6 linked regions of the Xenopus tropicalis genome follow. The protein of the gene in region 4 purifies or fractionates together with the protein of the main gene of each other region. This does not show direct contact. Links are inferred from orthologs where the notes say so. Each region holds a gene or a part of one and is shown on either strand. Other genes may lie near its edges.

Region 1 (3,365 bases), on a different chromosome or scaffold from region 4:
TATATTCAGTCAGTCCCAAGATTTTGGCAGGCAGTCGTTTCCACCTTTACGTTCTTTCAGCACGGGCGAAAACAATGCCCAATTGTCCCCATCTACTCAAATGTATGAAACTTACAACAGCTTAAGTAAGCTTGAGGCTCCTAAATCTCCCTCAACCCCAAAGGATGACCCATTTTTCTCCTCTGACAGTCATAATTTGCCAGGGTTACATTCTGGTATGTCACGAACTCCATATACAGATTCTCCCCGTACTCAAAATAGATCCCATGCTTTTACCAATAAGAATACTAGTAGACCACCAATGTCAAATATGGAGCAAACAGACAATGATGTGTCAGCTACTTCAACTATTGAATTTAAAAACATGCTTAAAAATGCATCTCGTAGGCCATCTGATGAGAACCAATTCAACCAGTCGGGCAAAGGCAATTTTAATGAAGATGTGAAAATTTCTGGCCTTGGTCATACTGGTATGACCTCTGAAGAGAGACAGCTTCAAGAGGAGCATTATCGCATAGAAACAAGGGTGTCATCTTGTGTTGACTTACCTGACAGTGGTGAAGAAAAAGGTGCTCCAATTGAGACCCTGGGGTATCATAATTCTGGAAACATGAGGATTTCAGGGGAACCTATAAAAACCGTAGAGTCAGTAAGAGTTGGAGTAAAGGGGAACAGAGGACTTGGCATAGATGGAGGTCGAGGGAGTTGGTTTGAAATGGGTAGCAGAGGTAGTCCATTTAATGACGGTCCATCCAGTGCTGATGATGAGCCATCAGTAAGTGGCAGCAGTGGGGTAGGAGGGTTTGAAACACAGTATGATGAGCACTTACCACAGTTTCAAGACACTATCAGTGAATTTAGAGCAAAATCTATGCAGGCGTTTGAGCATCGCTTACCTCCGCCTCCATTACCACCATCCATGGTACCTCCTTTAGATCGTGGAGGACCATTTCAAAATGAGCCAGCTGGCCCCCCATCTGTTCCACCCCCTGGTTTACCACCTGATCGTTTTTCAAGGGACATGCCTCCACATATGCCCCCTGTAGAAGCTATCTTGTCTCATGGTACTCACCCTCCACCCAATGAACATGGAGGCAATCCTTTCTCTGGACCTCCACCTCCAGAACATGGGGCAAATCCTTTTTCTGGGCCTCCTCCTCGAGACCAAATTGGCATGCCATTTTCCTCTCCGCCATTAGATATGCGAAATCCTTTTTCACCAGACCATGGAAACATTCATCAATCAATGAAGGATCATTTTGGTTTGGGCCCAGGACTACAGAGAGACCTTGGAGCTTTACCTCGTGATCACAATGGCCCAATGCTTGGTAGATTAAATGAAACACAAGTTCATTCTAGAGACCATCTTGGAAACTTTAGTGCTCCTCCACATCATTTTAATGCACCACATCACAGAGACAATGTTGGTGGCCTCAGATCGCACCGACCACAATTTAGGCCCAGGGAACAATATCAAAGCTTAAAAAGGCCAAGGCCACCTTTTGCACGAGGTCCACCATTTTTTACCCCAAAACGTCCCTTCTATCCCCCAAGGTACTGATACAAAAGTGTAAAATCATTAACGTGCATTGGTACTGGTCCACATTGGCTGTTATTTGGTCAGGGAGTTTTGTGTTAGTTGAAAATAGCTTAAACCTGGAAAGCTAACAACAAGATTTTCATTTTTCCTGGTGTAAGGCCACAGATATAAAGTCACTTTACAAAAAGTTGACTTTTTAGTGGAGGAATTTTTTTTTTTTTTGATTGTAAGAAACACCCATCCATTTGCCCACCCATTCTGATGTCTACTTCATCAACCAGTCAGCAGCTGGGTGAATATTGCAGTTGTCCTGAAGTGAAATCTGATGCCTAAATATTCATGTCTGAGTCACAATATGGAGCCAGTGAACTGTTTCGTCTGCTCAATTCTCAACACCTCTGAAGCCTATCCTGAATCAACCCATTGCTTTCTTATATCCAGATAGGTGAGTCACAGGGGCAGTTATAGGGAGGCTAGTCTATCTGAGGTCAGATAATTGCGTTTTTGTTTTGATAACAAGTGTTAACATTTCCTCTTTAGCATTGTTGCAACACCACAAACCCTTTCTCTTCACACCACAGTGAATCAGGGGAAAAAAAAAAAATAAAGTCTTCAGATGCAATTAACCTGCATCATTCCACCATTCAGTTTCAGGACTTGTGCCGGCTAAGACGTGTTCCAGTCCATACTTCTCGGAGCTTGAGGAGCAGAGTTTGAAGACTTGGTGGTGTTAATAAAACTCCAAGTTGTACCTTATTCATTCTGTGTTTTCGGCAGTTGCAAGGTTAGATGTTCTTTGTAACCAATTAAGGTTTCGAGTAATGCAAGGTTAAATACACAGTTGTATGTATCAGTCTACAACACAATTCTGAATGACCAACATAACCTTTATCCATGCATATGTCTATATGTGAAATTAATACACTTTTACCTTGTGTTATAAAGACCAGTGAATTTCATTTAATGTCTTCAGCATGACTTTTTCACAAGTGCTTGCGTTTAATCCATGAGGTACCTTCTAACATGGGCTAATGTTAAGCACTCGGACATTGTTCCAGTTGATAGGTAATACCCCTTTCTCCTAATTATTCTTCACAAATGTTTTGGTGGGTTCTAACACAAATTAATGTTGTAATGTTCTTAATTTAGTGTTTGAGAGCAACATACGTTGGTCAGAGTGTAGCATCTCTGGACCGTAAGAAAGAAAATGTAATTTAAAACAAACAAACCATTCAGCCATTGCTTTGCAGCAAAGATTTTTTGGGTGACACTGGGCGTGCAGTTGTTTGACAGCATTTTCACATTATATAAGGAAACTGACATTTCATATTTTCTCTTTGCACTTATATGACTGAATCTTGTACAGAATATGAATATGTGAGGGGCTGAACTCCTGTCACACCAACTGCTTTGTACAAGTTGCAAATTTGTTAGTGAGGAAAGGATACTGAAACTTAATTTATTAAGAACTGCTTGACAGAAAATTGGGCTTAGAAGCCCCTGTTAGGACGTACTCGTCAATCACACAGCCATGGAATATATAAATGGGCAATAATAAGTCAGACAAGATAATAACTTGCGTTTTGTATCTAAATTGTATTTAATGCATGAAATGTTTCATACCATTGAATATTAACAGAGGGTAAAAAGGCATAGTTGTATTTAAGAAATGAAAATTTGTTAATTGCTCATGCCCATACTGCGTTCAGAGCCCAACACAAGAATTTAAATTAACATTGCTCACAAATGGAACTAGCAGAAAATTTAAAGGGGTTGTTCACTTTTGGTCTTCATTTTTTATTATTTCTCAAATTGTGCAGCAGCT
Region 2 (4,062 bases), on a different chromosome or scaffold from region 4:
CACTGCCGGCCTAAAGTCCTCTAGGAGACATGAGTTCTGGTTACACAGCAACCATTCTGACGGGCTCATGGTGACCTGCCAGCACTTCTGTGACTGTGTCACTAGCAGCTCAGCAGCAATGGGGTTAATCACTTATTCTTTACTATATAATGGGGTACAGATATTTACGCACAGTCCTGACAGGTACCCTAGCTTTATTCCCTCCAACAAAGCAAAGACTGGGCCCTGCAGGGGGCCACCACAAAGCCTGCCATGCAGAGCCCATCAGATATAACGTGTTAAGGAGTGTTAGAGTTATAGGTACAAAGCTCAGATAAGATGGTGGATGGGGATTCCCAGCTCAGTCCAACCTTTGTGTGTGCCCTCCAGCTAGTGGGGCCTCAGTGAGCCACACCCATATGATTCAAATAACATCCGGGGTGCAGGCGTGAGCCCCAAGGATACCAGTGGGTAGAGCCATCCAGTCTATGCACAGTACAAATACACAGGATTGTGGGATGAACTGAATCCAGTTAGAAAAGAAGCAGTAGATAAATTAACCCCTAAATATGGCAATTGCACCTTGCTCCTCAGAATTAAAGGCTAAGTGTCTTCTAAGTTGCACTGTACATAAATCCAAGGAACAAGGAGTTAATCAAATTGTAATGAATTAGAGGTTCTGCACCTGGGGGTAACATTCATGTTGCACTATAAGTTCTTTCATCTGATTCAGATAGATCCGTACTGTAGGAACTAAAGTCCCTGCGCTGTGAGGGCCCAAGATAAGGATGATCTGCCCCAAATGCTGTTATCTAGCAGAGCCTCATTCTCCCAGCGCCTTCTGAATGGATTTCATCTCTTCTGTCGAGAGTGCCACCAGGTCGAAGCCTTTTAGCTCTGGCTTTCCTGCCAACAGAAACACGAGAGTCTTGGTGCCAAGCCAGAACCAATAGTAGCAATGGGGTCATCCTGTGCGAACATGAACCTCAGCACTAGGGCCAGCCTGTACCCATGTAACTCTCACTGTGTGGGTACAAGTCTGTGTTATTTGGGGAGCACTGCTCACCCTACTGATGGGCTCAGAGAGTATCAATAATGAAACTGGGCCAAATTTGCATCATTGGTGGGGGGGTGTCTAATAGATTGTGTTATTGAGTCTCACCTTGGGCCTCGTACAGCTCTTTCACCTTCACTTTCAGCTCCCTGCGAAGCCCTGAAATCTCTTTATCCAGCTGCTCTTGGTCTGTGGGAGAGAATGGTACAAACACACATTGTGATTCCCCTTCCTGCCATCAACCCCGCACTCACTCTATGTACCCCCGCACTCACTCTATGTACCCCCGCACTCACTCTATGTACCCCCGCACTCACTCTATGTACCCCCGCACTCACTCTATGTACCCCCACACTCACTCTATGTACCCCCACACTCACTCTATGTACCCCCACACTCACTCTATGTACCCCCACACTCACTCTATGTACCCCCACACTCACTCTATGTACCCCCACACTCACCTCGCTCTATGATCTCCTTGGTCTTGCTCTTGGGGAGCTCTATGAACATGTTCCCAAAGCAGACAGTTACCCTTCCTACAAGCACAGACAGAAAGGAACCCATTGGGGCACTTAACAACTGTTCTTTCTCAAAAAGGAATGACAAGCTGGCAGCACAAAGAGTTCAGACCGTTAACCCAATCCTTGCTCAGTTGGAGCATTTTTGATCCCTGCAACCTGTGCTAACTTAGTAACATGAACTGTAACACTCACCGGTACACCCTGGCCTTGGCACATACATTCTGCCTGGTGCTGAGTATCGAGTGATTGGCAGCCTTTGCTGTAACATAAACACGGGCACAACACGGCTGTTTCATGAACCCTGCTAGTTTACGGGGTGCAAACCATGTAATGTTTGGAAGTCGCATGAAGGGGCGCACCCCGAAACTGTACATGGTTTGCACCTAATAAGATAGCAGGGTTCATCCCGCTGAAACAGCCCTGTTGTGCCAGTATTTATGTTTGTTCTAAATGAGTCACATGACACACATTACGGGGTACCATCACTTCCTTCCTGTCTCCAGCAGTGGCTTTGGCTTCCAGACACCAAGGACCCCTTGGCTGTGGGCAATAGAGTGTAGCGCTAAGGGCTGGCTTTTTCCCTGGAGTAGCCCTTTCCTCCCTGCAATCTCACCCTCACTCCCCCCCATAGCGTATTGTGCTGCCTACTTACCCTGCTGGCAAGGTGCAGCCCCCCTGTGCCTCTTACCTGCTGGAGAGGGGTCCTTGCAGCCCCCCAGTGCCTCTCACTTACCTGCTGGAGAGGGGTCCTTGCAGCCCCCCAGTGCCTCTCACTTACCTGCTGGAGAGGGGTCCTTGCTGAGAGACCTCAGGGCTTCTCTGTTCTGGTTTCTCTTTATATCCAAATCCACAATCTGGGACAGAATGACACACAGTTATACAGAGCAGTGACCCTTACTACCCAGCGGTGCCCATGTTACCCCCGGCCCCATGTTACCCCCAGCCCCCCGGCCCCATGTTACCCCCGGCCCCCATGTTACCCCCGGCCCCATGTTACCCCCCGGCCCCCATGTTACCCCCCGGCCCCCATGTTACCCCCCGGCCCCCATGTTACCCCCCGGCCCCATGTTACCCCCCGGCCCCCATGTTACCCCCCGGCCCCCATGTTACCCCCGGCCCCACCTGCCGCCGCTTCCCCAGCACATCCTCCGCTCTCCCCTCCACCTCCTGCAGGTAGGACAACACTCTCTGCGGGCCCCCAAACTGCTCCATGGCAACCACGGCAACCGGAAGTGTGTACTGGGAGCCCACGATGAGCCTGCCGGAAGTGAGTCGCTATGACGCAATCAGCAGGCGCCTGGGAATCTGGAACGCAAAGCTGTACCGGGGAGAGGGAAGGGGGCGGTGGCTTCCCAAAATGCTTCGCTGCTTTCGGCCCAGAGACTGGCGTGGGAGGATAAGAAACCTCTGGATTGGACTCTGCAGAACTGCCTGAGCGTCTGACACTGCGAGGGAGGGGCTACAGGGACCTGCCACCGATTGGCTGTAGCGGCTGTCAGGGCATTCTGGGAATAGTAGTTTTAATAGCAGGAATTCTGGGAGTTAGAGTGAAAGAACAGTTACTGCTCCCTCTGGGAGTTATAGTTTCTCTCTGATTGGCTGCTCTGCCCCTGCTGGAGAAATTTATTAACCAGTAGGAAGGGGCTGTTCTACTGTACATGGGAGCAGGGCAAACCATTAGTAAGGGGCTGTTCTACTGTACATGGGAGCAGGGCAAACCAGTAGGAAGGGGCTGTTCTACTGTAACATAGTAACATAGTAAGTTGGGTTGAAAAAAGACATACATCCATCAAGTTCAACCATAATGCCTATATATAACCTGCCTAACTACTAGTTGATCCAGACGAAGGCAAAAAACCCCATCTGAAGCCTCTCTAATTTGCCGCAGAGGGGAAAAAATTCCTTCCTGACTCCAAGATGGCAATCGGACCCGTCCCTGGGGCAACTTGTACTAAGAGCTATCTCCCATACCCCTGTATTCCCTCACTTGTACTGAGAGCTATCTCCCTTACCCCTGTATTCCCTCACTTGTACTGAGAGCTATCTCCCCTACCCCTGTATTCCCTCACTTGTACTGAGAGCTATCCCCCCTACCCCTGTATTCCCTCACTTGTACTGAGAGCTATCTCCCCTACCCCTGTATTCCCTCACTTGTACTGAGAGCTATCTCTCATACCCCTGTATTCCTTCACTTGTACTGAGAGCTATCTCCCATAACCCTGTATTCCCTCACTTGCTAAGAATCCATCCAGCCCCTATATAAAGTTATATAATGTATCAGCCAGTACGACTGATTCGGGGAGGGAATTCCAGAACTTCACAGCTCTCACTGTAAAAAATCCTTTCCGAATATTTAAATGTAACCTCCCTTCTTCTAAACGGAGTGGGTGCCCTCGTGTCCGTTGGAAGGACCTACTGGTAAATAAAACATTAGAAAGGTTATTATATGATCCCCTTATATATTTATACATAGTTATCATGTCACCTCTTAAGCGCCCCTTCCCC
Region 3 (3,500 bases), on a different chromosome or scaffold from region 4:
TGTACCGTTTTTTGCCAAATTTGACGTACATGCATAATAACCTGGTTGGGGTATGCTATTGGTTGGGGTCCTTAAGTAAGTAGCCACTGAAAGGGGGTATAGCAGGTCCCTAGTAGGGCTTTATGTAGATGGTACAGTGACTAATGGGTTGCATCCTCAACCCAAGATGCTATGTGGCTTAGTTGGGCTGCTATGTAGTATAGATATATGTTCGGGAATGCTGCTCTCCCTTTAGATTTGCCTTTAATCAGAGTATTCAGGCCTAGGCGATGTCGGGTGCCAGCCCATATTAGTTGTCTAAATATTGTATCTATTGCAGTAAAAAACCCTTTTTTAATAACACAAGGGGCTTGCAAGAGGGCATAAGTTAGTGTGGGGAGGAGTATCATTTTGATAAGATGTATTCTGCCCATTGGGCCAATTAGGAGGGATTCCCATGCTTTATTTTTCTTTTGTATATAGTTTTTAACCAGTAGTACAGTTAGGTTGTATTCTGATAGGGGGAGTTTAATTACAACGCCTAGGTAAGTGATTTGCTGAACCATAGGGAAAGGTATATTTGATTGGTTATCTGGCAACTGTTGTGGGACAACTGGCAGAATGACTGATTTAGCTGGGCTGGTGACCAGGCCTTGGGTGAGGAATTTAAAGCAATTCACATAAGTAGTTACACTTATATATGCTTCATACACACTGCATATAGCACTAAGGCGCTAATTCAGTCTGTATTCATAAATTAAGAGCAAAGTACAGTGCCCTAAGATGCAAGAGAAATTAGAAAGTGTTACATTAGCATTGTATCTACCAAACTGACACACATAGTAAATTGCATATTAATGCATAATAATGCTGTTATTGTTAATAAACAAAAAGCCACACTACTTTCTGGCAAGCATTCAGCTGCTGTGAATTGAGGCAGAAGCTTTATATCCAGGGATGGAACTAGTGGTAGCCAGAAGAGGCACATGCCTAGGGCACAACAGAGGAAGGGGGAGTGCAAGGCATATACCTCATCTTCCTGCCTACTTTTAATTCATCATTTTATAATTCCTACTCTCAGACCAGGCGAGGGAGGCGACTATGCAATAGTAAATAGCAGGGATGCTCTGCTCGTTGCCACTGCATTGCTGCCCAAGGGTTTGGGCTTACCTTATTGGCACCTCACATTTGGCCCACAACTGCTTATATCTAAAAACTCACCATCTTGCTCCACGTAGTCATTAGGGTCATTGTCTCTGCTTCGTGATGTCACCTGCAAGGAAAAAAATGTCTATTCAGGTGACACTCAAGGTGTTAAGCAAATAGAAAAATAAATAAAAAAATAAATTGTCAGCATCTTTGTGAACAGTGTTTACCAACTTTGTAACCTGAGTAATCTGAAAAGAAGGAAACTGAAAAAGTGAATGAAAGGCAGACAGCCCCTTTAATTCCTTTTTAATGCCTTTTAACTCAGGAAAGTGATTTGGTACACCAGAGGAGACATTGCCTGGGTTATTAGTATCACAATAAACCAGTGAACTAAACAATTTTTAATAACAGAACAATTTAAATCAGTTCGACCTTATTTGCACAACGGCACCCCTCAGTTACACTATTTCCCTATCTAGGGGTTACTTCACCTTAAGGGCTCCTTCAGTCACAAAAAAAAAAAAAAAAAAAAATTATATATATATATATATATATATATGTTGCAAGAAGACAGGCACTCACGTATAAGTAGGTCCAAGGGAGCGCAGTCCCAAAATAATAGATGGAATAGCTGTAGAGAGAGTCCGCACTCACAGGTCTTAAGAAAATATAGAAGTTTTATTCAAATCAACATCTAACGTTTCGGCTGCATCCACAGCCTTTCTCAAAGACAATGTGAAACAAACAATGGTGCACTGAAAAAACCGAATTTGGCGCCAAACAATGACGTCATAGGTGTGAATACATTAGCATACAGTGTGAAAAAAACGCTCTCAAAACACATTGAATCAACATGTTAAGATAATATGGATTAGGCATAGAACACAAACAAAAGGACTGTCAGGAGAAAGGAAAAGTGGGTGTGTATTAAAAAAAAAACTAGATACATAAGCGGGCTTTTTTAATACACACCCACTTTTCCTTTCCCCTGACAGTCCTTTTGTTTGTGTTCTATGCCTAATCCATATTATCTTAACATTTTTTGTTGATTCAATGTGTTTTGAGAGCGTTTTTTTCACACTGTATGCTAATGTATTCACACCTATGACGTCATTGTTTGGCGCCAAATTCGATTTTTTCAGTGCACCATTGTTTGTTTCACATTGTCTTTGAGAAAGGCTGTGGATGCAGCCGAAACGTTAGATGTTGATTTGAATAAAACTTCTATATTTTCTTAAGACCTGTGAGTGCGGACTCTCTCTACAGCTATTCTATATATATATATATATATATATATATATATATATATATATATATATATATATATATATATATATATATATATAAAACATAAAAAAAGCTTTCTGGAGCAAAATAATACATTTTAACATTTTTAATTGAACATTAAAGGAAATAAACATTTTTTAAAGCCAACTTATTAGGGATGTACTAAACTCAATGTTTATGGATTTGGTAAAGTGGCTGATTAGATTCAGCAGTATCCAAACACATCACTAACGTACATAATCAATTCTGAGCAAAATGAAAATAAAACAGGAGACTGACTGGTATAACGCGGAGGTTGTTTGAGACAAGATCACGAGAGGTCACATGGCGTGTCTGGTCTTCATTGCATCGGACATCCAAAGTAAATTCCACAGAGCACTCTGGACAAAACTCATCACATGTACAATCCTAGTCAGAAGATTTTTGGAGAAGACAAAACTGCATTGTAAGAGCAAGAAGCTATGGCAAGTTTTATTACAGATAGCCTAGATAGAAGTCTGAAGAACAGATCAAAATGAGCTAATAAAATCTCAGCCTTGAAGATTTGGAAATTCATCCTAGTAATCATCTGATCAGAAAATGTATATCCATCTCACTAAAATGCCTTTCCACCAGTGATTTGGAAAGGCGCATGCGGCGCTTTATTTTCCAAAGTCACGTGAAGTTGCCTGCAGGAGGAAACTTCACTTGACTCCAGAAAAATGAAGCAATGTGTATGCCTTTCCACCAGCAATTCACTTTGATGCCAGTGGAAAGGCATTTGGGGGAGATTAGCCACCCACGATACCAAAGATTAACCATGTCCGACTTATCTCCCCGTGAGCCATGAGCCTAAAGGGGTCGCTCACCTTCAGATAGTACACCAGAAATAAAGGCTTTTTTTCCCCCAACTGCTTTTATTTTTTCTGTTTTTCTAATATTGAAGTTTCATATTTCGCCTTTTCATGTCTCCATAGAGCAGCTGGGGAATAGGGGGCCACTGTTCTAATTTGATACATTAGTTGATAATCTTTTATTTTTCACCCTGCTTGGCATAATACCTGAGTTTCATTAAAGGCAGATGACTGCACATAGATTACTTAGCA
Region 4 (3,500 bases):
GATGAAATACAGTATGTGCAATATCTAACCCTGTGTTTTCTTTGTCGTTTCTAGCCAAGTCAAGCCGGAAGCTGACTTTCTTGTACTTGGCCAATGATGTTATTCAGAACAGCAAACGAAAAGGACCAGAATTCACCCGCGAGTTTGAAAATGTGCTCTTGGATGCCTTCTCGCATGTGTCCAGGTATACCCGGCATTGTGTTTTTAATATACAGAGACATATATTTAAATATGAGGTAGCATATTATTATTATTGTGCAATTGATACTTTGTATATGTGAGGAGAAGTGGCCATAGTGCTTGGTTTGTCATTCTCTTTAGATATCAAATGAAGATCACCATCTTGTGGTCATAAATACATAGTGCTTACCTTAGAAATTTATTGTAAAAAAAGAAGAGTCGGCAAATCTCTAATGCAAAAGTGCAGAGAGGCAAAATTTTATACGGACACAGTTATTTCCTTATATTTTGTAGTTAAAGGGAACATAAACAGAATGTGACTGTAAACAAGGCAATTTCCTTCTCTCTAATCTTGGCACACTTAATTTGGGCATACTGCTCCATTAAATCCATAATATAGTAGCGTTTACCCCCTGAATGTTATAACATGGCCTTTCAGGCTAAACGCAGTTTGCTGGAAATCTTAACAGTTGTTTATTGAAGAGTGAGGGATGAAAGTAACATCCATTGTGTCCCTCTGATTCCATGTCTGGCACGCAGTGTCACTGGCTGTGTTTCAGCATCACTCCTCCAACTCGCCATTTGCCACAACCAGCTGCTCACTCCCACCTCTTCATGTCTGTGATTGGGCGCCCTTAATAAGTACAAAGGAACACTGATTGAAAATTGACCAAGCACAGTAGATAATTGATTCATTACAGTGAAATTGTGTAGGAAATCCAGAAGCAGTATGGATGCCAAGGGTCATATAAATATCTCAATTTATTGTGGATATATTTCATTTGTGAACACATTTTGTATCCAGCTGTAATGCTGCTCACGTATGCACTACCATTTTGGTAACCTAGCAGTGTGTCCCATATACTGTATTCCTCTCACATACTGGATTCCTCCCATATACTGGATTCCTTTCTTTTGGCATCTTTATATCTCCATTGGCCAAGCATACCCACTTTTCTTCTCTCCCGCAGCGAGGCAGAGGATGGGTGCCGGAAGCCTTTGGAAAGGTTGCTGCATATCTGGCAGGAACGCAGCGTTTACTCGGCTGATTTTATCCAACAGCTCCGACTGTCAATCGAAAATGATGAGAGCCCCAGGGAAACACCAGGTACATTGTCTCCATCTGACCCTTTGTTCAAGCTTTGTTTAATTCTATATATTTTTCTCCCAAAGCAGCAACTTGGCCCAGTTTGGTTCTGATTACAGAAATGCCCATTGGAAATTTGCAATTGGGACCCTCAGGCTTTATGAACATATATACTGTGACCTATTAAGGTTTTGGGGTTATAGATTGTAGAACAATTGGTTACCTGAAAGCAGTTTTAAAGCTGGCCATACACGCACCAATAGTATCGTACAGAACCTTGTTTTGTATGACATTTGGTGCAAGTATGGTGGATTGACGTGAAGACGGATATCGCAAGAGTGTTGGATATTGGTCGTCTTCTCGATCGGGCGACGTTGAAGGCGCCTGAGCAAAATCTGCATTTAGAGTCTTCAGGGGGAGGTAGAATCCCTATTGACAATACTGACAATTGCCTCTGCTAAAACACACGTAGAGACATTTTTCAGTAAATGATCAGCATTTCCTGTTTTAGTAACTGTGACATGTGACATAAATCTTCGTTGCTGCGGGCGACTAATCTACCTGCAATGCCATCCCACCGGCTACAATGTAAATTGCTTGTGGGATGGCATACGCGTTATGTCCCGCACTCGCCCAAAAACTACGGGCAATTTACATTGATGGCATTGCGGGGAGATTAGTCGCCCGCGACAACGAATATTTGTCGCGGGGTGACTAATCTCCCTGTGTACCCCTGCCCTAAGGGTGCTACAGAGCTACTAGTAGCAGCTACTTTTTCACAGCTACTAAAACTGGAAATGCTAATCATTTACTGAAAATTGTCTCCAGAGGTCCTTATGATTATATCCGTACAATTTGGCCAACCGCGAGGATGGACACATGAGACAGACATATTTGGTGATCTGTACAAACTAGTTCTTTCTAGGCCAAGCTCTAGATTTGTGTCTGTATTATGTTTATTATATTTTTCCTTTGACCAATGCTATTTGTGTTCACTTGGGAAGTGACTGCCAGCTTTGCTACTAGGAGGAAGTGTGCATCACAAAGATGAGGGTTTTGTACAGGAATAGTGTTTTCCTTTAGATTTTGGGCTATGGAAGTTAGTGATAGAAGGGCAAGTGGTTCATTTAAGGTCATAAATACCTGCTATATTTATCATTGAACAGAGTTACAGCAATTCCCTAATTCTAAATTGGGCCAATCATATGGAGGTTTTCAATAGTCATTGCTTAATTTAAACCTACATCCTCCCACCAGTGCTAATGGGATGAACCATCTGAAGTGATCCACTAGGTTCAATGCCCCCTACTGCTGCAGAGAAAGCTGGGATATAAGCAATGAATTTACATCAGCGTTATAGGGGAAAAAAATACGCCCAGTCCTTTCTTTAGGTCATATTTCATCCTCCTGTAGTTTGAGGTAGATCAGTTCCACCACGGAAGGGCTCAGAAGCGTAATGGCGCCAGTCCCAGAGCTGCAGCGCCCGACTTGTCTCCTAGAGATAAAGAAAGTCTTTGGGCTCGCTGGAAGAAGCCAGGCCGGCTCATTATGGAAGCAAGAGAATTATTTCTGGAGTGTAAAAACTGAATAATTTAATAAAGATTTCCCTGCTGTGGGATTAAAGGGGATGATTGCCCGCTGCTGTCTATCAAAGTGGCGTTTTTTGTTTTTTTTTACACAACGTAGCCTTACATTTGGAAAAGCATACACACTTGCTCATTTCAGCGGGCGCCAAGTTAATCTCTTACAGCAGGACTGTAGCCCTAGGATAAGTAGTAAATGGCGGCTGACATAAAATCGGTGACATGTGGGTTAGCGGCGCATTGTGTTCCCTGCCGTTGCTTTATGGCATGTGCAATTAACGCCTGCTTTCTTACAATTCAGGTGCTTTCCCCTGATAAGATGAAGAGCTAGCAGTACTGGGAGGCTCCCAGAATGCACTTGGTGCTGCCCTCGAGCAGACAATAGCAAGGCTCACTGCTGTCAGGAGAATAATGGGAGTCGCCGGCTATTCTTAGGAATGACTTATGTTCGCAAGCATGGCTCCTTTCTTCTAAGAGATGCCTTTCTCCCCAGTCAAAGATCATTTTAGAAATTACTTCAAGTTGATTGTTGATAACAGTATGTGTTTTTACCACCTTAACCCAGGCCTTTAATAAGCTTTTGTATTTCTCTAATCAGAGTCTGTGCCGGGTACTGTTATGTGATCATAGGTTATGGAGCGATATATAAA
Region 5 (3,500 bases), on a different chromosome or scaffold from region 4:
TAAAATTGCTGTTGGGAAAAGGCGCCCTTCCAATAAGAGAGACCTGGAGCAGTTTGCAGCAAGAGTGGTCCAAAATTCCCGGTGAGAGGTATAAGAAGCTTATTGATGGTTATAGGAAGTGACTGATTTCAGTTATTTTTTCCAAAGGGTGTGCAACCAAATATTAAGTTAAGGGTGCCAATAATTTTGTCTGGCCCGTTTTTGGAGTTTTGTGTGACATTATGTCCAAATTGCTGTTTTTACTCCCTTTTTTGTTCTGTTCCAATACACACAAAGGGAATAAACATGTGTATAGCAAAACATGTGTATAGCAAAACATGTGTATAGCAAAACATGTGTTACTTACTCTTCTGTGAGAAATACTTGATTTTCTGTAAAAATTTCTGGGGTGCCAACAATTTTGGCCATGACAGTATATTTTTATGAAAATGGCTTATTTAGATGAAGCAGGTTTTACATGTGAGCTTGTTCATGCAATATATTTTTATAGAGCCCTACATTGTTTGGGAGTATAGTTTTCCTTTCAAATGCATAACTACCCTACCGCATTATACCTTACAGTTATACTTATACTTACTCTTTTTGGTTCAACTGTGTGCAGAAAATGTATGGTTGCCACAGAGTTTTTAATGAAGCCGGAGTCATCTTCACCATCACTCTGGTGTGAAACTGAAACACTGATACCACTGGTGTTCACTGCCGACTCTGATTTTGTATTTAGATAATTTCCCTGAGTTGGAGATTCTCTCACTTCTTGGGACACATTAAGATCAGTTTTTCGATTCTCTTTGTCTTCTTCAGAAAATCCTAGATCTATTCCATTTTGTATCTCATCAATACTGCAATAAATAAGAGCATACAGAACATATAAAAATATATATACCTGTAGGGATCCCCAAAATTGGCCCCCAGGAGGATTCCCGTTTAGACAGGCACTAGAGGGTGGCCTCATGGGATTTGGACACCTAAAGGTGGTCCTAGTTGTTTTTGTGTGAAAAAGGGAGTTTCCCTGTAGTTCAGGCAGTGGCCACTGGGTGTGTTAGAATATAAAAAGGGAAGATTTTCTGGTTCAGCAGGTTTTCTGCCTGGGACCTCCTTTGGTAGAGGGGTGAATAACAGGCCTGTGTTTAGAAAGCAGTGTGGGAAGTGAGAGATCACTCTAGGAGTGATAGATGGGTTATTTAGTAAGGGCCGACATCTCCCCGACAGGAGCCAGTGCGATTAAGATCCCCCAGCACTACATCGCTGGAGTCAGGGGGTAGGGTATAGTTGTCAGTATGAGGGGATTCCTAATCCAGTGGGTGCTCAGGCATGAGTACCGGGGTGAGGTCTCAAAAGGGGTGTCCGCTTGGCGGGAGTACCGGGGAGAGCCCTACAGAGGGTCTTCCGGCGCGAGTACCGGAGGGAACCCCAAAAAAAGGATCACCTGGTGGGAGTACCATGGGTAGCCCCAGGGAAAGAGGTTTTCCAAAGAGAAGTGTGTACCCTGACTGCAAGTGTGCTTCTGGATAACCTGGCTGTCTGTTCTGTCTACAATAAATAAGTTCTACTGGTTAAGCATCATACCAGTGTCCTGGTCTCTTCATACAAGGAGGATCATCGCTGCTTGGTAAGCGGCTACCCCAAAGGGAAGGGGCAAGGTAACGGGAGTAGCAGCACTGTCACAAAAGTGGGCTACATACCTTTGTGTCTTGAGAAAGGTCCCTTACTTACTATATTATATATTTATATATATATATATATATATATATATATATATATGCGCTTTTTCCACTTCCTTGGTGATCTGGCTTTCATTATGTTGGCATAATAAAGCTTTATACAAGCTTTTTGAATACTGTTCAGTAATATACTTTAGTTTGGCACCAAAGGTGATATCTTAATCAACCTATAAATTATATTAAATGGCTCACACATACAAATGGGAAAAAACAAATACAGCTTACTTATTAAGCTCTCCACGTAACTCTTCTTCCCGTTCAAGCTCTTCCAATCTTGCCCACAGTTCCTCATTGTCTAAAAACGTGGTTTTAGGTTTTGTTCCCATTTCATGTTCTGCAACCTCCTCTTCAAAACAGTCAGGTACCTTTGGTTTTGAATGAGGCTTGTGTGCAATGCGGTGGCTTCCTGTTAAGAAACTCCTAATGTTACTAAATCAAAAGTTTCATCCACAAATTGAAAAAAATCTGAAATGCCTCATTCTGAGATTTAGAGTATAATTTTAAAAACATCCTACTTAAAGCTTGGTGTCCATTTATGCAGTTGATTACTGGTCATATTTTCCACCAAACAACATACCTGGAGCAAAACATGACATTAAAGGAGAAGGAAAGGCTAAGTCACTGGGGGTACCAAAATGTCTGACTTCCCCCTCTTCCTTACTTCAAAGGGAGCGCTCACTCTCCAGTCTTGTTCCCTCTGAACTCCCCTCTGCCCTGATCAGGTCTTGCTCCCTCTGCCACTCCCACCTTTCATCACCGGTCTCCCTCCCTCTGTTCCTCCTACCCTCTGTTCCTCTCAAGTCTTGCTCTGCCTGCTGATTCCAACCTGCATGCAAAAAAACCACCAGTGCATAGGGACTACAGAGATAGGTAAAACTGAATGTTAAAAAAACAAGGGGAAGGAAAAGGAGGAGACTTAAGTGTGTCTCTGCAATAAAATAGAGCAAACACAGAGTTCCTTGAAGACACTGTCCATAGAAACACTGCAGAATGTTATGGATAATACACCCCTTACTATAATTTAAAGAGATATTGGAAGTCACCTCTGACTCACATGACCTGTATAAAAGCACTTGGCATGCGACCTCGTGCTTTTATATGGTCATGTGACTCCTCGGTGACTATATATATATAAATATTATATTTGTATATCTATAGTAATTAAAATATATATTGTAAATAAATATTTGCAATGCCATATTTAAAACGGACAGCACAAATAAAAATGTTGAATTATATTTGCACATCGAATACACCAATCTTGCCAAGCTTTCTAAACAAACACATGTAGGTCATATCTTAACACTGGGCAAATCATTCTGTGCAGCACAAAGTTTATAAATGAGCCCCACTGGTTCGTATTTTAACAGTGCTACTTTTCTTTGTGATTATGCAACTCGTTTATTTCTATTGCCATCCAAAATCTTTATTCTCATTACAAGTATCCTGCTCTAGTAATAAAAGATGCAACAGAGAATCTTTCTTCAGCTTTGCTATGAATTTTAATCCCTCTTAAAACAATTGGCCTTGATAGCAAAGAGCAAGAGATCAATGCAGCAAAACAACTAGATGACATTAAAGCAGTCAATGTAATGCAAATTTCACAGAGCGGTAGGGAAAAAAAAGAAGTGTTTATATCTACATATATATGCACTCATATACAATACAAATGCAGGCACATATAAACATACATAAAGAAGGTGGAGGAAGGTAGTCTGCGGTTTATATAGTATTTCGGATGTTACAGAGACCAAGCCCACTGCAAAGTGATGAATCAAA
Region 6 (4,231 bases), on a different chromosome or scaffold from region 4:
TATGCTATGTGGTTGGCCCCAGACAACCCATTCCAATGCTGTAAGTAAATGCCCCTTAATGTCTTATTTGTATCATATATCGATCTTTATTTCTGCAGTGGTGCATAGACTAATGCCCAGGGTGTTTGTATAACTTATATCCTATATTTACAAATGCACAGAATTATGGCTATTTTACCACAATGTCACAGAAAGTTAACAATAAATAACATTTTAATTAGCAGACTTTAAATAATCAAGCCTATGATACTATAGGTACTTACAAATTTCTCAGTTAAAGATTGCAAATCTGCAGCTGCCATATCACACAAGAGAGCATGAGCACAAAAGGGTGATGCCTGCACAAATATAAATATAAATGGCAGATAAATCAGAAGAAAAGGACATAAGGTTTACAGATTATGTCTTAAGGTTCTACAGATGAAAGCAGATAAATTAAACTCATTATGGTAACTCCTTATGGTACCTGCTGGCTAATGTTTACATGTATTGTAGAACAAGCATAAATGCACATTAAAGGAACAGTAGAACCAAAAAATGAAGCTGATTTTAAGTAAATTAAAATATAATTTACTGTTGCCCTGCACTGGTACAACTAGTGTGTTTGCTTTAGAAACACTAAGGGCTCTGGCACACGGGGAGATTAGTCGCCCGCGACAAAACTCCCTGTTCGCGGGCGACTAATCTCCCCGAGTTGCCATGACCCGCAAAAAGACTCACAAGTCTTTTTCGGCGATTTCGGGAAATCGCGCCGCCGCGTGTGCCATCCCGCCGGCGACTTACAAGGGAGATTTGTTGCGGGAGACTAATCTCCCCGTGTGCCAGAGCCCTAACATAGTTTATATAAATAAGCTGGTGTGTAGCCATGGGGGCAGCCATTCAAGCAGGAAAAAGGCACAGGTTACATAGCAGATAACAGATAAGACACAATTGTATTCTACAGGGTTTATCTGTTAGCTGCTGTATAACCTGTGCCTTTTCTTCTTTTAAATGGCTGCCCCCATGGCTACACACCAGGGTTTTTATATAAACTCTAGTACAGACAGTCATGTAAAAATGCAGATGGCTGTTTCAAGCATGTGTGCCATATTTTCAGCAGTTTCTATTGTCCATAATGGAAAGTGACAGGTGACAAGTTTCATGTGGTTTTTGAAAATGGAATTTTTAATTCTAAGTAGTCAGTTCTTGTTCACTGTGACAGGAGTGGAGCTGGTCTACCTGAAATCCATCACAGTTTAACTTTGACAACACATAAGATCTATAACCGTTTTTTGCTAAAGTCAAAGTAATTCTAATGAGTTCTAAAGTGCAAAGAGTTGTGCTGTACCGTACCTGAATGAAACTGAGCCGATCGCAACGTTCCAGCAGATGAAACAGAATGTACAAATCTCAGGACACGTGACCTGTAGAATTGTCACTATAGCGTTCCACACGCTTTGCTGCTTTGCTTCCGGGTGCGACCATATCGAGGTGTGGAACAAAAGCTCCGCCCAGTGGGAGGCTGTCTGCTGGTGTGGGACATGGCGGAAAGGGGGAATATGTCTAAATCAAGGAAGGCTCGGGCAAAACATTCAGGTGCGGATAAGAAAGGGATTTCTAAACTATTCATTGCAGACTATTAGCAGGGGATGCCCATAATCATGTGCACATATGAACTGAGTATTGCCCCTTGTATAAGGTCTAACGCAGAGTTGAAAACTTCCAGTGTAAAGCGATGTACAGAATTAGTGTTGGCATCACCATCATCTCTCACGTTATTGCTTCACATTTGTTATAAATATGTATTTTAAAAATGAACTGGTTTGTCCCGCTAAGTAACTCAGCCTTGTGTGAGTGCGCCCTGCTGTGACACAAGTGCTTCAGAATGCTATACTATACTATAGCTAGAATGTATAGCTACAATCATGCACACATGAGTATCTGCAAATACTTTAGCCGGTGTATAGCTACAATCATGCACACATGAGTACCTGCAAATACATTAGCCTGTGTATAGCTACAATCATGTGTACATGAGTACCTGCAAATACTTTAGCCTGTGTATAGCTACAATCATGCACACATGAGTACCTGCAAATACATTAGCCGGTGTATAGCTACAATCATGCGCACATGAGTACCTGCAAATACATTAGCCTGTGTATAGCTACAATCATGCGCACATGAGTACCTGCAAATACATTAGCCTGTGTATAGCTACAATCATGCGCACATGAGTACCTGCAAATACATTAGCCGGTGTATAGCTACAATCATGCACACATGAGTACCTGCAAATACTTTAGCCTGTGTATAGCTACAATCATGCACACATGAGTACCTGCAAATACTTTAGCCTGTGTATAGCTACAATCATGCACACGAGTACCTGCAAATACTTTAGCCGGTGTATAGCTACAATTCTTCACACATGAGTACCTGCAAATACATTAGCCTGTGTATAGCTACAATCATGCACACATGAGTACCTGCAAATACTTTAGCCTGTGTATAGCTACAATCATGCACACATGAGTACATGCAAATACTTTAGCCTGTGTATAGCTACAATCATGCACACATGAGTACCTGCAAATACTTTAGCCTGTGTATAGCTACAATCATGCACACATGAGTACCTGCAAATACATTAGCCTGTGTATAGCTACAATCATGCACACATGAGTACCTGCAAATACATTAGCCGGTGTATAGCTACAATCATGCACACATGAGTACCTGCAAATACATTAGCCTGTGTATAGCTACAATCATGCGTACATGAGTACCTGCAAATACTTTAGCCTGTGTATAGCTACAATCATGCACACATGAGTACCTGCAAATACTTTAGCCTGTGTATAGCTACAATCATGCGCACATGAGTACCTGCAAATACATTAGCCTGTGTATAGCTACAATCATGCACACATGAGTACCTGCAAATACTTTAGCCTGTGTATAGCTACAATCATACACACATGAGTACCTGCAAATACTTTAGCCGGTGTATAGCTACAATTCTTCACACATGAGTACCTGCAAATACATTAGCCTGTGTATAGCTACAATCATGCACACATGAGTACCTGCAAATACTTTAGCCTGTGTATAGCTACAATCATGCACACATGAGTACCTGCAAATACTTTAGCCTGTGTATAGCTACAATCATGCGCACATGAGTACCTGCAAATACATTAGCCGGTGTATAGCTACAATCATGCACACATGAGTACCTGCAAATACTTTAGCCTGTGTATAGCTACAATCATGCACACATGAGTACATGCAAATACTTTAGCCTGTGTATAGCTACAATCATGCACACATGAGTACCTGCAAATACTTTAGCCTGTGTATAGCTACAATCATGCACACATGAGTACCTGCAAATACATTAGCCTGTGTATAGCTACAATCATGCACACATGAGTACCTGCAAATACATTAGCCGGTGTATAGCTACAATCATGCACACATGAGTACCTGCAAATACATTAGCCTGTGTATAGCTACAATCATGCGTACATGAGTACCTGCAAATACTTTAGCCTGTGTATAGCTACAATCATGCACACATGAGTACCTGCAAATACTTTAGCCTGTGTATAGCTACAATCATGCGCACATGAGTACCTGCAAATACATTAGCCTGTGTATAGCTACAATCATGCACACATGAGTACCTGCAAATACTTTAGCCTGTGTATAGCTACAATCATACACACATGAGTACCTGCAAATACTTTAGCCGGTGTATAGCTACAATTCTTCACACATGAGTACCTGCAAATACATTAGCCTGTGTATAGCTACAATCATGCACACATGAGTACCTGCAAATACTTTAGCCTGTGTATAGCTACAATCATGCACACATGAGTACCTGCAAATACTTTAGCCTGTGTATAGCTACAATCATGCGCACATGAGTACCTGCAAATACATTAGCCGGTGTATAGCTACAATCATGCACACATGAGTACCTGCAAATACATGCATGCACAAACAATTGCTGTAGGTTTGAAACAATTAAAGGAAATCAACTTTAAAAAAATATTATATTGTTTTAATAAATAATTAGTGTTAACAGTTTAAGCTTAAATTATGCCTCTACTGTCTAAAATACTTTTAACTTTACCCTAAGTTTTCATGTGTTACTTTGTGTCATCTGACAGACCTAAAACAAAGGTTTTCTTGGAAGCCATGCACAGTTTTCATTAAAGCAACATAGTACTGCTAAATAATT

Evidence for each region.
Region 1: the proteins of rprd1b (region 4) and rprd2 purify together in Homo sapiens (affinity purification with mass spectrometry; 4 studies listed by BioGRID and IntAct, counting the BioPlex papers as one, with this or other methods). This does not show direct contact. The link is inferred for Xenopus tropicalis from reciprocal best matches to the Homo sapiens genes RPRD1B and RPRD2.
Region 2: the proteins of rprd1b (region 4) and pdrg1 purify together in Homo sapiens (affinity purification with mass spectrometry; 3 studies listed by BioGRID and IntAct, with this or other methods). This does not show direct contact. The link is inferred for Xenopus tropicalis from reciprocal best matches to the Homo sapiens genes RPRD1B and PDRG1.
Region 3: the proteins of rprd1b (region 4) and polr2c purify together in Homo sapiens (affinity purification with mass spectrometry; 3 studies listed by BioGRID and IntAct, counting the BioPlex papers as one, with this or other methods). This does not show direct contact. The link is inferred for Xenopus tropicalis from reciprocal best matches to the Homo sapiens genes RPRD1B and POLR2C.
Region 5: the proteins of rprd1b (region 4) and uri1 purify together in Homo sapiens (affinity purification with mass spectrometry; 3 studies listed by BioGRID and IntAct, with this or other methods). This does not show direct contact. The link is inferred for Xenopus tropicalis from reciprocal best matches to the Homo sapiens genes RPRD1B and URI1.
Region 6: the proteins of rprd1b (region 4) and rpap2 purify together in Homo sapiens (affinity purification with mass spectrometry; 5 studies listed by BioGRID and IntAct, counting the BioPlex papers as one, with this or other methods). This does not show direct contact. The link is inferred for Xenopus tropicalis from reciprocal best matches to the Homo sapiens genes RPRD1B and RPAP2.

The regions. Positions count from the first base shown.
Region 1 is NC_030684.2:127,642,418-127,645,782, reverse strand, and holds the end of rprd2 (regulation of nuclear pre-mRNA domain-containing protein 2), read left to right. Parts: coding exon 1-1,561; 3' UTR 1,562-2,865; downstream 2,866-3,365.
Region 2 is NC_030679.2:29,800-33,861, forward strand, and holds the start of pdrg1 (p53 and DNA damage-regulated protein 1), read right to left. Parts: upstream 2,801-4,062; 5' UTR 2,770-2,800; coding exon 2,680-2,769; intron 2,412-2,679; coding exon 2,336-2,411; intron 1,573-2,335; coding exon 1,498-1,572; intron 1,223-1,497; coding exon 1,142-1,222; intron 886-1,141; coding exon 803-885; 3' UTR 1-802. UniProt on the Homo sapiens protein: May play a role in chaperone-mediated protein folding.
Region 3 is NC_030680.2:76,281,164-76,284,663, forward strand, and holds part of polr2c (DNA-directed RNA polymerase II subunit RPB3), read right to left. Parts: intron 2,824-3,500; coding exon 2,695-2,823; intron 1,253-2,694; coding exon 1,201-1,252; intron 1-1,200. UniProt on the Homo sapiens protein: Core component of RNA polymerase II (Pol II), a DNA-dependent RNA polymerase which synthesizes mRNA precursors and many functional non-coding RNAs using the four ribonucleoside triphosphates as substrates.
Region 4 is NC_030686.2:39,351,733-39,355,232, reverse strand, and holds part of rprd1b (regulation of nuclear pre-mRNA domain-containing protein 1B), read left to right. Parts: intron 1-54; coding exon 55-184; intron 185-1,151; coding exon 1,152-1,288; intron 1,289-3,500. UniProt on the Homo sapiens protein: Interacts with phosphorylated C-terminal heptapeptide repeat domain (CTD) of the largest RNA polymerase II subunit POLR2A, and participates in dephosphorylation of the CTD by RPAP2. Transcriptional regulator which enhances expression of CCND1.
Region 5 is NC_030680.2:71,244,142-71,247,641, forward strand, and holds part of uri1 (unconventional prefoldin RPB5 interactor 1), read right to left. Parts: intron 2,128-3,500; coding exon 1,947-2,127; intron 840-1,946; coding exon 578-839; intron 1-577. UniProt on the Homo sapiens protein: Involved in gene transcription regulation. Acts as a transcriptional repressor in concert with the corepressor UXT to regulate androgen receptor (AR) transcription.
Region 6 is NC_030680.2:104,537,919-104,542,149, reverse strand, and holds the start of rpap2 (putative RNA polymerase II subunit B1 CTD phosphatase RPAP2), read left to right. Parts: upstream 1-1,431; 5' UTR 1,432-1,520; coding exon 1,521-1,575; intron 1,576-4,231. Other genes in the region: glmn (glomulin), read right to left, coding at 264-302.